Linked DNA regions of Drosophila melanogaster. The protein of the gene in region 2 interacts with the protein of the main gene of each other region in a pairwise test. Each region holds a gene or a part of one and is shown on either strand. Other genes may lie near its edges.

What was found.
Region 1: the proteins of Mabi (region 2) and sip2 interact in a two-hybrid assay, tested with the Drosophila melanogaster proteins (one large-scale study listed by BioGRID).

The regions. Positions count from the first base shown.
Region 1 is NT_033779.5:6,961,015-6,965,881, forward strand, and holds sip2 (septin interacting protein 2), read right to left. Parts: upstream 3,061-4,867; 5' UTR 2,925-3,060; intron 2,842-2,924; 5' UTR 2,804-2,841; coding exon 2,730-2,803; intron 2,663-2,729; exon of another isoform or gene 2,642-2,662; coding exon of another isoform or gene 2,619-2,641; exon of another isoform or gene 2,541-2,618; coding exon 881-2,540; intron 817-880; coding exon 577-816; 3' UTR 502-576; downstream 1-501. Other genes in the region: Hmgcl (3-Hydroxymethyl-3-methylglutaryl-CoA lyase), read left to right, coding at 1-459; Coprox (coproporphyrinogen oxidase), read left to right, coding at 3,505-4,677.
Region 2 is NT_033779.5:13,233,253-13,236,360, forward strand, and holds Mabi (mabiki), read right to left. Parts: upstream 1,409-3,108; 5' UTR 1,344-1,408; coding exon 723-1,343; 3' UTR 546-722; downstream 1-545. UniProt on the Drosophila melanogaster protein: Plays a role in inducing apoptosis and is involved in the repair of head patterning defects in the embryo caused by extra maternal copies of the homeotic gene bicoid.

The DNA of each region.
Region 1 (4,867 bases), 6.3 Mb from region 2:
GCTGTTGCGCCGAGTGCTGTCGTCAAAGTGGTGGAAGCCCTGTACCAAATGGGCTGCTATGAGATCTCATTGGGCGACACCATTGGTGTGGGCACTCCAGGCACAATGCGCCGAATGCTGGATGAGGTGACCAAGGTCGTCCCGGCTAAAGATCTGGCCGTGCACTGCCACGACACTTATGGTCAGGCTCTGAGCAACATACTGGTCTCACTGGACTATGGCATTCGGGTGGTGGACTCTTCCGTTTCTGGCTTGGGCGGATGTCCTTACGCCAAGGGGGCGTCAGGCAACGCAGCCACCGAGGATGTGGTCTACTTACTGCACGGCATGGGCCTCGATACTGGCGTCAACCTAGACAAACTGATCCAAGTGGGGCGGTACATCTGCACCGAACTGGGCAGAACCTCAGAGTCCAAGGTTAATCGAGCGTGGAAGGGACCGCAGGCGCGAGTTAAGTGATGATGCAAGCATTGATACTATCAAACGAAAACGAAGGCATTTACTAGCACTAGTTACACAATACATTTATTATCGTTGCAATATTTAGTCAAGGAGCGTGAAGTACTTTTATGGGCCTTAAAACTTTTGGGCATCTCTTATTGTGTATAAGGACACGTCGCCTGAGGCGAGCGACAGATCAGCCAGGCTGTGATTGGCGCGTCGTGGGATATGCGAAGACGACGGATTGCGGACTGCCTCGCCGGGCATTTTCATTTTGCCATCGTGGCGCATAACAGTAGGCTCCACGGCGGAGTTGAGGTATTTTTGAATTTGAGGTACCTTCGGCATGGGCAAAGGAGTTCGTTCATCAACCACCTGTTCAATGGAAGGTATTAGTTTACGTTCACTCATCATGGCTTATATATAAATTTAAACTTACATGCTTGATTTCGGAAGATATGTAAGCCTTTTTGGGAAGCAGATCAGCGGCTGAATCGATTCCATTGATAATTAAAGATTCCGCTTCACTGGACTTGGGTGTTTCGTCCTTTGTTGCGAAAAGTGCTTTAGGATGACACAAGCGAGACTCCTGCTCCAACTCACTGATGGCCAGTGTAGATAGCATATCAGAACTCGTTGGACGGAATGTACTCATTAGCGGAGCAGTACCAGACTTCTGGGTGTAGGTGCGTATGGGACTGACTATGTTGGCGTATGGCTGCTTTATCTGATTTTGGCGACGCTGAGGAATACCAGAGGCTGCACTGAAAAATTTCTTTTTGGTCCACTCCATGGTGAGGCCGACATTGAGCGGCTTTCTACCCGTGCTAGATGAACCTACAACTGTTTGTGGCTGATTAGATGACCGCAGCGGAATTGATGGCTGCAAAAAGGCTACAGCCGGTGATTTTGGTTCCGGCTTCGGTGAAACAACGAACGTGCTTTGTTTGGTCTTGGGCAGCACAGGGCAATCTGCCTTGACTGCGGCGACTGAAGGAGCCCCACCTGCCATGTACTCCATACCCTTTTGCATCATGTACTCCATTTCTTCCATGGTATCATTGAAATGCAACGAATTTTCCTTATTTTCAACGCTCTTCTCCGCTGGTTTCTGCTCAGTGTGATCTTTTCCGTGGACTGAGGACACACGGGACGTGTCTTCTTGTTTTACTTCTGGAACTAGCTGCACTTCTTCATCGTCAGAAGAGGATAGCTCGATTATTGTATCCTCTATATCGTCCTCTTCCTCCTCGACCTCATCCTTCGGAAGTGAGGCCAGCTCTCTAAGACTGCCATGAAGATCGCTTAAGAGCTCCAGCTCCTCTCCCTTGGACATTCCTGGTGGCTTGGCCTTGGCAATTGCGGCGTAAAACAATTCGTCGACGTTTAGGAGCGTTCCACTGAGGGAAGTATCCGTGGCTGTTTCGTAAGAACTAGATGCATTTGTCTTTAGGGTGCGAGCGCTTTGGAAGCTTGTGTGTGAAGACACATCAGACGACTCCAGTTCGCTGTCTTCGATGATGGTTGAGGGGCGAAGCAGCCCCACCATTTTGACAGGCGAAACCTTGGTCAATGCTTTAGGAGTCAGCCCAGAGTCGGATGAGGTCTCGTCCATTCCGGCCAGGGTGTTGTCCCAAAAGCGCGACGGCGCCTCAATGTCCTCCAGGTGAGTGCACTCCGCCCCCTTGACGGGACTTTCGTTCTCCAATAGATCGTCTTCTGTACCCACTGCCTCTAGCATGCGACGCAGTGCATCGATCTCTTTCTGATCGTCGGTGCTATGATCCCTAGCCCTGGCCATCACCTGACTCCGGTCCTCGCTGTGCAGGTACTGGAAAAGAGTGCTATCCGGATCGGAACCGGTTTTGTCGCACATGCGCTCAAAGGCACTGAAGCTATCATCGCCATCGTCCAAGTGCTCCAAGTCACCTGCCTCGTACATAGTATCCTCGCCGAGATTAACAGTCCTTTGACTGGCAGAATTAACGGCCAGAACTTTCTTGGCCCGCGCCTCCAAGGGTCTCCTCAAATCCTCGTCGATCTCCAAACTATAGCGCATATCCTTCGTTTCGTCCATTTTCACGGGCTTTTTCGGCAAGCTGAAAAAGGAAAACTGTTATTAGTTTTCTCAACTAAATTGTATGTGTGTCTAAACTGTCCAAACTATTTATGCGTACTGTTTCTCTAACAATTTTGACATGCAGGTGGCTTGTTTGAAAGTAAATGACTACAAATTCATCGAACACTAGTGCAACACTATCCAAGGATGGGTTTCAATGTGTATTTACCGCTCGGTCATTAGAAACTGACGGAGTTTCTGACGCCATTCCTCAGTGTTTTGGAATTTCTTGAGGCCAGACATCGTGAGTGTGCGAGTGTGCGTGTGTCCTGGGTGCAAAACTCCAGTCGACGGGATAAACACGTATAATTGCGCGTTGACTATAGTTCAGAGGATTTAGAGTTCGCTCCAGTCGATCACCTACCTTCTGGCAATAGTATTCACGCAGATCTTCCTTAATCTTCAAGGCGCACACGCAAATATTTCATGGATTTCTTCACAGCACGCTCATTTGCCAACGATCGACGCGCCTTTGCAGTCGTTTATTTCAAATGCCACGACAGAGTGCCCGTATTGCGCTTATATTTTTGAATGGGGTATTCCAATGGACACTACACATATACATCATCGGAGTTATATCACTTATAACAAATAATAATATAAAATTAAGACAAATATGTCTACCATTAAAAGCAATTGTACTGCTCCGTAACTTTTAACATATATTATTTATTATTATTATTTTGTGTATATATACAGACATATTGAGCTAGCTAGTGTTCTTAACAATATATAATATTTTTATAAGAACGTTACAACTTCTTGTATCTCTGTAAATAGAACAAAATCGCGAGCCCCCTATTTTCGGTATATTTTGGTGATATCACGGTCACACCGGCGACTATGCAACTAGAAATGCCGGGTCAGTGAAAGATAACAAACAAACTGCGTTCGGCGAAAGTACTTAAGTTAAGTTAAAAATTTGAAGTAGGCGAGAGCACATAATGAACGCACTCCGTCACACGATATCCCTGGTATCGCTGGGCACCTTTCAACTGGTGCGCCGGACCAGGGGGCCGCACGCCAGAGGCTTTCTCCTCGGCACGGGATTGGGCCTGGCCAGCTTTTCGGCGGTCACGTACGCACATTCCGCGGAGGCTGTCGACCCAAAGGTCAACGGGGTGCAGATGAACACCTCGCGGTTCATGGCCGAGCCCATCACCGACTCCAAGGCACTGCTGGGGGACAAGGAGAACATGCGTCATCGCATGGAGATCCTGATCATGGAGATCCAGGCGGAGTTTTGCCGCGCCCTGGAGGCGGAGGAGAACTGTGGCCAGAAGTTCAAGGTGGACCGGTGGGAGCGGCCTGAGGGCGGAGGCGGCATCACTTGCGTCCTGCAGGATGGCGATGTGTTCGAGAAGGCAGGCGTCAATATATCCGTGGTCACCGGTTCGTTGCCCCCGGCTGCAGTACAACAGATGCGGGCTCGCGGCAAGAATCTGAAGGAGGGCGCCTCGTTGCCGTTCTTTGCCAGCGGTGTGAGTGCCGTGATCCATCCGAGGAATCCCCATGTCCCCACCATTCACTTCAACTATCGTTATTTTGAAGTGGAAACTGCCAAGGGGGAGAAGCAGTGGTGGTTTGGTGGCGGCACGGATCTGACGCCCTATTACCTCTGCGAGAAGGACGCCTCCCACTTCCACCAGACGCTGAAGTCCGCCTGCGATGAGCACGATCCCACCTACTACCCGCGCTTTAAGAAGTGGTGCGACGACTACTTCCGCATCAAGCATCGCAACGAGAGCCGCGGCATTGGCGGAATCTTTTTCGACGACATCGATTCGCCCAACCAGGAGGCGGCCTTCAACTTTGTGTCAAGCTGCGCCAGGGCCGTGATTCCCTCCTACGTGCCGCTGGTACGAAAGCACAAAAATCGGGAGTATGGCAACAACGAACGACAGTGGCAATTGCTGCGCCGCGGGCGCTACGTGGAGTTCAATTTGATCTACGATCGTGGCACCAAGTTCGGTCTATACACGCCTGGAGCCCGGTACGAGAGCATCCTGATGTCCCTGCCCCTGCACGCCCGCTGGGAGTACATGCACGAGCCCAAGTCCCAGTCCGAGGAGGGCAAACTGATGAAGGTCCTGAAGAACCCCAAGGATTGGGTCTAAGCTATTTTTAATTGTTCTTAAGAGGGAACCGGTGCCTTTTGCATTATATTTAAAACTTAATGTGTACATATTGTAATTGTTGTTGCAAATAAACATGACAAAATGTTATTGTTTCCTAACTATTTATCCATATTTGAAAAACTAGTTTATTCCATTCAACATACAGTATACATTGGCAAATAATACTATA
Region 2 (3,108 bases):
GGGGTTATGCAAATGAAAGCCTTTAGCGTGACCAATTCGATTACAATGTATTTGAAAATATCGTAGCTACTAATAGCTAAAGTGTTTAGTTTAACTTTAAGTGCGACAATGACAGCTGAGCGATGGACGGGAATAGGAGTAGTTATTATTTAAGCCCACATTCCCGTAGCTGCGGTTTCAATCGGTTTACGGCTCTATTGCCAGTGGTTTGACCAGGGTGCAGGGTTAATACCCAGTGAACTTTATCCGACTGGCTTGATATTCTCCATGGGGGGAGGCAATAGTCGATGGGGTCACCAATAACGATTTGCTCCAGGGGCTGATGATTGCCTGTGACACCACGCGAACTACCCCTGGGGATTAATTGGGATTTATTTCGATGGCTCCACGCTTTATTATATTTTATTAAATTTATTTATATATATTTTTAATATATTCATTGCTTCATTAGCGCTTGATTACTTTTTCTGCCAATGTCATAAATTAATATTTATACCATTTTTAGAAGGAAGATTAAAAGTCAAGCACACGATAAAAAATCAATTAGCCGTAAAAATTAAATCCTCATATTTTATTTATTAAGAAGTTCCTGCTTAACCTTTTAAGGCATTTATACTAAATATATACTAAATTTCTTAGCACTAAAAGTTCTTGAAGAAACTTAACAACTTAGCATTAATATAATAACTATATAATACAATCCTAAAAGGAGATGGACGTATCTAAGCATGCTCCTGTTTAATACCACCTATCAGGTAGTCGATGCTAAAGTTACTCTTGGTATTCTCCTCCGGAACTCTCCTTGAGGATACTAGCGGGTGGTCTTCCTGCTTGACCAGCTGCTTCAGATGATTCAAATAGACCCTGGCACGCAGACTCTGTTCGGCGATCTTGAGGTGCTCATCGGAGCACTCCTTGTACTGCTGTTCGATCTGCAGGTCATCGAACTTCTTCTTCCGTCGACTCATCCTGCAGGCAATTGTGTTCTTGTTGCGGCGCTCCTGATCCTTCGGTGAACGCTCCTTCTTCGGGAATTTTCGCACCATATTGACGTGGTACTTGAAGATGTCTTGGATGGCCTCGGTTATGATGGGGCTGGCGGATTGGTAGGAAACGCTTGAGGATGAGGATCCCAAACGACGACGCTTTGGCAGTGGAGGAAAGTCAGCATCCTGATCACTGAAACCCAAGCTGACGGACTGATTTGCCGCATCGAAAGGACTCCGACTGGTGCAGGGTGTGCCGCTCCGGGAGATTAGCTCTTCCTTCAGCTGCAAATCGCATTTCTCAATCTTTCGACCCATGTCGAACTTTTTGTGGCGATAGATCTGATGGTGCTCCATTGTATGGTATGATATGCTATGGTTATGCTATGTGTGTTCTACTCGAAGACTCTCGATTGAATGCTGTCCTGTGGATTGGTACACTAGCTTATATGGCGAAAGCCTTATCTGCCGCTCTTCGTAATCCCCCCACAACTTTTATAACTTTGTTTACACAAATCGACGACGAATTTTCTTTTTGCAAAACGAAAACAAGATCATAAACCCGCTCGATTTGCCTGCGCACGCGTACATGCCACCCAATCCCATACCCAAACCCAAACCCAAAACCCAACCCATCCCACTTACCTACTTGTAAGCCCACCCGTTGGGCATCCCTATCTACTGGTCATGTTTATTCTTGCGTGCGTTCAGCTGGGATCTTTTGAATTTCAGATACAATACAATCCGAGTTTTTCCGGATCAGTAGGTGGCGAAATGCGCGCCCATCGATTGTCTGGGTTCATTCAATTCGTGTTTGTTCCTCTTTCAAATCTATTATCTGCTGTGTTTTTCAATGTCGCCGCCTTTTGTAAAAGTCATATATATATATACATATATGGATTTTGGGCTACTCTTGTTCAATTGGCCTCTATTCGAAAAGTGTTTTGCGGCCTCATTTGTCCAACTCCCTTTGTATCCTGCTGTTGATAAGGTGTGTGTGGCACTGATCTTTTGTTTTCCGTTTGTTTCCCTTTTTTTAGATATCACTTCTTGGAACTCGGAGTGCCATTTCTGGGTTTGCAGTTTAATGCCGAAGATGACGATAAGATGACGTCTATTTGGGGTTGCAAAAGGGCACATTCCTGTAGACAGTCTGCGTCTGCTGATAACGTGCGTTTATCTCTTTTGTGCCAGGTCACTTGATAAATCGTTGTAAACTCAGCGCATCTTAAAACGATCCTAAAAAAAAAAGTATTCGAAAATTGGCCTGCGTAAAATAACCTACTTATTTGTTTGTTAAGAACTGAGGTTTTCCGAATTAGTATAAAGATTTGTTGTACGCGTATGACTCATTTCCAACCTTTTAAGCTTTGACAAAATCGACGTACGTTGCCTACTAGACACACGTGACTAAATAATCACTAATCAAGCACTTTAAAAATTGCCGTAAGGTGCAAAAAGCAGAATTAGCATTAGAGCTGTTAGCACGGCCACGCTTGACACCAATTGTTTGATTTATACTTTCATTACTACTTACTAGTAGAAACAGAAATAGGCAGTAAAAGGTTCTGCCTTTTCATTTTGAGGGTATACACAGATGTATATTTTACTAGGCCACAAAATTGCAGTAAGTTAAATAAAGCCTCAGTTAAATGCATTAGCATTAGCATGGAAGTACAGGAAGAATAGTTTCAAGCTCTAAAAATTGAAACAGTGATCTTAAGCCCAAGTCCCCGAGACATTTAATAAGGTGGTACGTTTTAATTAGCCGCCTGGGACCAAGATCTCCAGCACCATCTCCATCACCAAGTCGAGGAAGCATCCAAAGCGAGTCGGATCACTTGGGACAGCTGCCGGTAGTTGGTAGGCGGTTATGTGATGAGTATGTCGGGTCGCACTGGGGTCGCGATAAGTCAAATCGGATGGCTGGGTGGCTTCCACTTCACGACTTTACGGGGGAATTTAATAATGTCGTTTGTATTTCGCTACTGTCTACTGTCTACTGTCTATTGACTTTTGCATTTGCTTTGTTTTCTACAGCTGCGACGGCGATTAGTTTCAAGCTATTTTTGTTATCCACCCACCACCCACCGCCCACCGCTCCGCCCACAAATCCCTATTA